Mus musculus: one gene and its partner. The protein of the gene in region 1 purifies or fractionates together with the protein of each later gene. This does not show direct contact. Links are inferred from orthologs where the notes say so. Each region holds a gene or a part of one and is shown on either strand. Other genes may lie near its edges.

The links.
Region 2: the proteins of Ftsj1 (region 1) and Wdr6 purify together in Homo sapiens (affinity purification with mass spectrometry; 3 studies listed by BioGRID and IntAct, with this or other methods). This does not show direct contact. The link is inferred for Mus musculus from reciprocal best matches to the Homo sapiens genes FTSJ1 and WDR6.

What each region holds. Positions count from the first base shown.
Region 1 is NC_000086.7:8,242,226-8,246,033, forward strand, and holds part of Ftsj1 (putative tRNA (cytidine(32)/guanosine(34)-2'-O)-methyltransferase), read right to left. Parts: intron 3,431-3,808; coding exon of another isoform or gene 3,425-3,430; coding exon 3,327-3,424; intron 3,248-3,326; coding exon 3,059-3,247; intron 2,877-3,058; coding exon 2,850-2,876; 3' UTR 2,835-2,849; intron 1-2,834. UniProt on the Homo sapiens protein: Methylates the 2'-O-ribose of nucleotides at positions 32 and 34 of the tRNA anticodon loop of substrate tRNAs. Requisite for faithful cytoplasmic translation.
Region 2 is NC_000075.6:108,575,840-108,580,156, reverse strand, and holds the start of Wdr6 (WD repeat-containing protein 6), read left to right. Parts: upstream 1-1,443; 5' UTR 1,444-1,563; coding exon 1,564-1,663; intron 1,664-3,574; coding exon 3,575-4,317. Other genes in the region: P4htm (transmembrane prolyl 4-hydroxylase), read left to right, coding at 51-141, 318-441, 849-1,069. UniProt on the Homo sapiens protein: Together with methyltransferase FTSJ1, methylates the 2'-O-ribose of nucleotides at position 34 of the tRNA anticodon loop of substrate tRNAs. Required for the correct positioning of the substrate tRNA for methylation.

The DNA of each region.
Region 1 (3,808 bases):
TTTTTAAGGTGCCCTTTATACCAGAAGACTTAAATGTGGGTAACTTGCTAAGCCATGGTCAGAAAAGGATGTCTCCTAATGGCTAGACTAAGTCCACCCTACTACAGAGCAGCTGGCTTCTTCTATTTCAGGTAGTTTTAACCTTGAATTCTGCTGTGCCCTTTTCCCTGCAATGTTCTTCCCCTAGATAAACCCACAAGTCCCCACACCTCAATCCCCTCCATGGTTTCTTTACCTCAGAAAGGTCTTTTAGAAAACATGCTTGCTGGGCAGTGGTGGCACACGCCTTTAATCCCAGCACTTGGGAGGCAGAGACAGGCGGATTTCTGAGTTCGAGGCCAGCCTGGTCTACAAAGTGAGGTCCAGGACAGCCAGGGCTATACAGAGAAACCGTGTCTCGAAAAAACAAAAAAAAAAGAAAACATGCTTTTATTTTTTATTTCCTTTTCTCACAGGATCTCTACATAGCCCTGGCTGTCAACTTGCATGTAGACTAGGCTGGCCTTGAAATAGCAATCCTGGTGCCCCTGCCTCCCACCTGCCTGGCTAGAAAAAGACTTTCAAAATTCTAAACTCCTGTCTGCATTCTCTGACTTCCTCCATTTTGTTCTACTTTTCCTGCCTTCCATAGCCAGTATTCCTTTTACATGTGCAGCCATGCATTTCAGTGACAGGGCGTCTCTGTGGGAAATACACCTTGGGTGTTTTTGTTATTGTATAAAAATAAGCCGGTATCTTAGGAGACCATTGTTTCTGTAGCACACTGTACACACAGGCAAATACAAATTACAACGTATAAATCCCGGCTCTTTGTCTCCTGCTGGTTCTCTAAACCCAGAGTGCCTGCAAAATATTCATTCAGTAAATATTTATCAACCCCCTCAACAGGTAGTAGCGAAATGCTTCAAGTTCTTCAGACGCTCTCTGCACATTCATTTACTGAGAAAAAACAAACAAACAAACAAACAAAACCAAAACCAACTTAGCAGTGGGGGCCAGGAGCTGGAAAAATGGCTCAGTGGTTAAGAGCACTGCCTATTCTTCCTGAGGTCTTGGGTTTGATTCTCAGAATCTACATGGTGGCTCACAACTACCTGTAACTCCAGTTCCAGGGGACCTGCTACCATCTTTTGGCCACCTCCATAGCTCCAACTTTGTTTTTATTGAAGATAGGGTCTCATGGAGCCCAGGCTGTCCTCTTGGACATACAACTTGGTATAGAGTTGTGGATGACCTTGTATTTCTGAATGTCTGTGGTGGTTTAAATGAGAATGGTCCCCAGAGGCTCATATATTTCAATGCTTGGTGCCCAGTTGGTAGAAGTGTTTTGGGAGAGATTAAGAGTTACAGTCTTGTTGGAAGAGGCGTTGTCACTGGGGACAAATTTTAAGGACTCAAAGGCCCAGGTTATTACCAGTAATCTCCCCCCCCACCCCCGTTTGTGTCTGCCCCGTGGTTTATATCTCACAATTACTAATTACAATTACACCAGAGCCATGCCAGCCTACTGCCATGCTCCCTGCTACGGTGATCATGGGCTCTGCCTCTGAAACTGTAAATCCCCAATGAAGGTTCTCTTCTATAAATTGCCTCGGTCATGGTGTCTTATCACGGCAATGAAAAAGTAACTAAGACAACTTCCTACCACAGGATTACTGGCATGGGCTACATGGTACTGGGGCTCCGAGCTCTGTCTGTTCCAGACAAGCATTTTACTAACTAAGCTACATCCCCAGCTCTTAATTTATCTGTTTTATTTTCTTGGCAGCATTGAAGATGGAACCTTTTAACCCTTTAAAGATTTTAAAAAAATTGTATGTGTATGAGTGTATACCTAATAAATAAACTTTATTTTTTAAAGTCCCTGGGTGGTGGCAGTGTTTGCCTTTCACTCCAGAACTCGAGGCAGAGACAGGTGGATCTCTGATAAGTTTGAGGCCAGCCTGCTTTACAGAGCTAGTGTTAGACAAACCCTGTTTCAAAAAAAAACCCCCGTAAAACTGTACTGAGGTCTTTTACTTTTTGAGACAGGTTTTCGTGTAGCTCATGCTGGCTTCAAACCTGCTAAGGATCTGAGGATGCTCTAGAAACTCTGCTGCTTCTATTGTATCTGCTGGGTGCTAAGATTACTCTGCCTCGACTTTTATGTGGTAGCTAGAGATTGAACCTGGGTTTTATGCATTTTAGGTAAGCACTCTACAAACTGAGTTATATTTTCAACCCACTGAGGGATTTCTTTTCTCTTCTTTTTTCCTTTCTCCTTTCTCCTTTCCTTTCCTTTCCTTTCCTTTCCTTTCCTTTCCTTTCCTTTCCTTTCCTTTCTCCTTTCCTCTCCTTTCCTCTCCTTTCCTCTCCTTTCCTCTCCTTTCCTTTCCTTTCCTTTCCTTTCCTTTCCTTTCTTCCTTCCTTCTTTCCTTTTTAACAGACAGGGTCTCATTATGTAGCACTGGCTGGCCTGGAACTATTCAGACCAGGCTAACCTCAAACTTGTAGAGACTTGCTTGCACCCCACCCCTCCAAGTGCTGGGATTAAAAGTGAGTGACACCATGACCAAACTATTTTTATTATTTTTAATTGTGTGTTGTGTGTGTGTGTATGTGTGTCCTGGGTGTGTGCTTGTGAATGTAGGTATCCTGAGAGGCCAGAGATGTCTGCTCCTGTGGAAGTCATAGGCAGTTGTGAGCTCCCACACGTGGTTGCTGGAAACCAAACTCAGATCTTCTGCAAGGGCAATCCTTGCTCTTAACTAGAGAGCCAGCCTGCAGTCCCTATTCAGATTGTTCTTAAAGGTACCCTTTACTTGAACTTTAGAAGGGGAAAAAAGCAAATTTACCTTAATGTGTTAAGGTCAACAATGAATTTCATTGTCTTCCACCTGCCAAAGAAAGAGAAAAGGAACTCAGCTATTTGGCTACATTTTTCCATTTGTCAGTGGGCTGAGCTAGGGATTCTTAAAGAGATTGCAAGGCAGGAAAGGACCAGGAGAGGGAGTCAGTCAGGACAGAAACGGGCACACTGGGGAGATGTCATGGTGGGCTCAGAGGTACATATCCATACCTTGGGGTCTAGCAGGGTATGGATAGCCAGAGGCTGGGGCAACTTGTCCACACTGTTGATGGAGCATTCTTGGGGGAGGAGTTCCTTGGCCAGCTGTCCATTCTTCTTCAACCTGCAGGCCTCTTGGTATGGGGGTGCGATGGGGGGCTGTGTGGGTGGAGTATATTTGTACTCAGAGCCACCGTCTAGCTGTAGGACACAAGAGATGATGAGGATCTGCCAGTCCAAGACAATCTCCTGCCCCCTGCCCCGCTGGCTGGACACTCACATCCAGAGAGTAAGTGCGGTCCGAATCGTAGGCGCTGAGGTCCCCACAGGCCACAAAGGGCACAATAACACGGGTGGGACCATCCAACTGGTTGAAATCTGTATCTTAGAAAGAGGCAGAGTGAAGATACAGTCTACACCAGCACTGAAGTCCCCCTCCCCACCATCATGGTCCTTTTTCCCTCTGGTGCACATTCCCTTCTGATCACTGTTGCTAAAATGTCAGCCTGTGGCCTGGCTTTTTCACTGTACCATGCCCGCTCAGCGTTTTACCAGTACATTCTACCTTGTCTCATGCAAATAGGATCTACAGAGACAGGTTCCACCTTTGCCTATCAGGTTAGAGGCTACAGACTTCCACAGGGGACATGTTTAATACAGGTGAGCTTTCTACCTGAGGGGTTCCCTAAGGTAGACACTTAGGATCTTCCCTGGGTGAATGCTTAGTTTGCTGCAACAGAATTTCTACCAGGACCAAGGCTA
Region 2 (4,317 bases), on another chromosome or scaffold:
ACAAGTGGGAATGTTGGGGATCTACTCAGCAGCCTCCCCCTGCCTTACAGCTACATGACAGTGCTGTTTTATTTGAACAATGTCACCGGTGGGGGTGAGACCGTCTTCCCTGTGGCAGACAACAGGACCTATGATGAAATGGTAAGGGCCAGTGAGCTGTTATTACTCTTGGGCTGGTAGGGCCTTGGGCAAGTGTGTACACACCCTTCCAGAGCTGGGACGAGGGCACATCTGCCTGTTTTCCCTCCAGCCAACCTTGGCTGCCTGGTCCTGCAATGGCAGGCAGTCCACAAACAGCCTCACCTTGTTGCCTACAGAGTCTGATTCAGGATGATGTCGATCTCCGGGACACTCGAAGGCACTGTGACAAGGGCAACCTTCGTGTCAAGCCCCAGCAAGGAACTGCAGTCTTTTGGTACAACTACCTTCCTGATGGGCAAGGTGAGGGCTTTACTCATGGCCAGGTCTTGGGCTTCTCTGAGGGAACTCATCTCTCCCTCCTGCTCTCCTGGAGGACTGTTCCTGTCTTCCATAGCCAGGGATTTCAAAGCACAGTAGCACTAGTACAGTATCTTCGGTTATCTCCGCCCACCGTCCTTGCGCACCAGCCTTCCTGCTGTCTGGGGCAGGGAAACTTCTCTCCACAACCCAGGCTGGGAAGAGCTATAGCCAAGCTCAGAAGCAAGGAAGCTTGGTTAATTTTAAGGGCCAGTATGTTGACCATGCCTTAGTGGGTGAGACGCCAAGTCCTTCCATGGGGATTAGATGTGTGCACAGCTCAGGCTGAGCCAATCTAGGGTTTTCCCCTCCCTAACTTGTCCTTTGTTCATGTCACCTTCTTACCCCAGGCTGGGTGGGTGAAGTGGACGACTACTCGTTGCATGGGGGCTGCCTGGTCACCCGCGGCACCAAGTGGATCGCTAACAACTGGATCAATGTGGACCCTAGCCGGGCACGGCAAGCCTTGTTCCAGCAGGAGATGGCTCGTCTGGCTCGGGAAGGTGGCATGGACTCACAACCCGAGTGGGCCTTGGACCGAGCCTACAGTGATGCCCGTGTGGAGCTCTGACGCAAGGCCCTGATGCGAATCACCCGCTGCCCAACGTCAAAGACCCTGCAGGTCCTCTGTCCTACTGCAGACTGAAGTTCTGGCCGACCTCTTGCCCTAGCCCTCCCTGCCTGCAGCCGCGATCAAAGGCGCAGTTCCTACATTCACGTTATTTATTGGTGTACAGCCTCCATGCTGCTCCGTTAAATAAAACTACAGGGCTTCCAGCCAGGGGCCGGCGAGCTAAGCGCCCGCTTGGGGGAGGGGAGGCCCACCGCCCCTCCCGGCTAGTCTCATGTGTGTGTGTGTGGGGGGGTGACTCTGATCCGGCCAATCAGGAGCGGGATCGCGTGGGGGACAGGGTCGTCATTGGACGTCCGCAGCCCAGCGCCAGGGCTTTGCTACCTGTAGCTAAGGGCTTCGGAGCTCTGCAGCGCGGCTCTCCAGACGGCTGGTTCTCGCGAGAACGCAGCTCTCTTCTTGTCCGTGGCAGCCACAGCAGCTCCAGGAACGTCATGGACGCTTTCGGGGACTATGTCTGGCCGCGGGCGACTTCCGAGCTCATACTCCTCCCGGTTACGGGTCTGGAGTGTGTTGGGGACAGGCTGCTGGCGGGTGAGGCTTGGTCGGCTCTAGTCGTGCTAGCGGGCGAAGAACTAGCCTCTCCCTGGGTGGTCGCACCGGACAAAGGGATGCCCTGGGGAGGAGGATGGGCAGCGGGCTGGGGACTGGCGAGGGGTGGGAGTGGGGGGAATAAGGCAGGTTCGGAGGTGGCGGGAAACACAGGCCGGCGGAGGAGGGCGGGGCTCGAGAGACAGTGGCAGCTCTTCATAAATTGCAGCCAGCTTGGAAAGGGTGGACAGAGACGCTTGAAGGTGTGGGGGACGCAGTCGTTCCATGTTGGGGGAGGGACGTTGCACCCTCAGGTGAACGCAAATGATCAAAACCCCTGGAGAGGAAGAAAAAAAAAAAAAGGGCAGCCTCAGGGGGTGTGGCGGGAGTGTGGCTTCTGGAGAGGGTTGAAGCTCCGCCCCCAAAGATGAGGGGGCCAAAAAATTGCTTTCTGAGTAGAGCAGTATCCAGAGAGGCTGGGGCTTAGGTTCCTCTGGAGAACCAACTGGGGGGTCTGAGCCAACTGGGTTAGTAATCACATGTCTCAGTGTCTGGTGGTAAAGGTCTGAGATGGCTCTGAGGTGCCAAGTGTCCTGGAAGCAGTAGGGCCTGATGCGAAGCCATCCTTTGGTGATGGTGGTGTTGGGTTTTACAAGGACCCTTGGCACTGACAATTAGGCCTTGGGTCAGCCATTATTAGCCTCAGCAGGGCTGCGTGTTTGTCTTGTGGTGAGGGTATATTCTAGAGTTGATGTGTGTGTGTGCGTGTGCGTGCGTGTGTGTGCAAGTGCAAACATTGGGTTGCTCCAGTGAGCTAAACTCTCTGGAGGTGGGACCGGCAAACTTCAGGAAATGAAATCCGTAGAATTTTGAAGAAAGAGACATTAAGAGAGGAGTAAGGTAATGAGGAATCCTGACGAGTCCGAGGAGGAGGAGATCGTGGGAAACAAACGGCTGCAAGATGACCAAAAGGGAGCTGAGAGTCCCATTCTAGAAAACGTCTGTGGGTTCTATACACATGTATGGGGGTGTAAGAGATTCCCCGGGAAGTATGTGGATTTGTATAGAGGGAGGCCCTGGACAAGCCCCTCTTGAGCACAAGTTAGGAATGTTCCTAACTCAGAAGACGCTAGCTTTGATTCTGCTGTGTTAAATGCTGTCCAGGTTCTTAATACCTGCACCTCATCTCTCCTCCCAAGCCTTGTTGCTTTTAAGTCTCAGTCGCATACAAAGGACGATCTCACAGCTGTCCAGGGGTGGGGCCAGAATGCAAGCCTCACCCCTGCCTGCCAAAGTGTGGGCAGCTTCAGCACGCATGCACACACACAAACACACACACACACACACACACACACACACACACAAAACCACATACCTACCCACCCCATCGCCTCTGTTGAGCCTCAGGGATTAGACTGATGAAGGATGCTGATGGCTAAAGGGTGCAAAGGTCGACACAGCCTTTTCCCTAAGGGAGGGAGAATCTGGAAAATGCATGCAGAGGCAGGTGGAGCTGAGAGTTTGGGCTAGAGCAGAGCAAGGGCTTTCCATCTGAAGTGTAAGGATGGTGTGCACCAGAGGAAATCCTAGTGACTGTCATTAAGGGTGATGGATAGCCAGGCATGACAGCATACTGCCACAGTCCCAGCAGATTCGAGGTTGAGGCAAGAGGATCTTGAATTCAAGGCCAACCTGGGCTCTCTGAGAGAACCTTACCACAAAAACGAGTGACTGACAGGAGTGTGCCTTTGCAGTTGAGGTCCGGCTGAAGTGGAGGCACGGGTTTGGTAGGATGCTGTGTCCTGGTATATTCTGAGTCTGTATGCTAAGGAGTGGCCTGCTCCACTCATGCGTCCTAGGATCAGGTGCGTGCGTGCGTGTGTGGTGCTGATGTGGCTCTTTACCTCTGTCTAGGCGAGGGGCCTGATTTACTGGTGTACAACTTGGACCTTGGTGGGCATCTCCGAATGGTGAAGAGAGTCCAGAACCTGCTTGGTCACTTTCTCATCCATGGGTTCCGAGTGCGACCAGAGCCTAAAGGAGACCTGGACTCTGAGGCCATGATAGCTGTGTTTGGGAGCAAGGGCCTCAAAGTTGTGAAAGTCAGCTGGGGTCAAAGCCATCTTCGGGAGCTCTGGCGCTCTGGCCTGTGGAACATGTCCGACTGGATCTGGGATGTCCGCTGGATCGAGGGTAACGTAGCCGTGGCCTTGGGCCACAACTCGGTGGTACTGTATGACCCAGTGATAGGGTGCATGCTGCAGGACGTCCCCTGCACAGACAGGTGTACCCTGTCCTCAGCCTGCCTGGTTGGTGACACCTGGAAGGAACTGACCATCGTGGCTGGCGCGGTTTCCAATGAGCTCCTGATCTGGTACCCAGCCACTGCTTTAACAGACAACAAACCCGTGGCCCCTGACCGGCGGGTTAGTGGCCATGTGGGTGTCATCTTTAGCATGTCATACCTGGAAAGCAAGGGCCTGCTGGCAACTGCTTCAGAAGACCGAAGTGTTCGTCTCTGGAAGGTGGGGGACCTCCGGGTGCCTGGGGGTCGGGTTCAGAATATTGGCCACTGCTTTGGGCACAGTGCCCGAGTGTGGCAGGTGAAGCTCTTAGAGAACTATCTCATCAGTGCAGGAGAAGACTGTGTCTGCTTG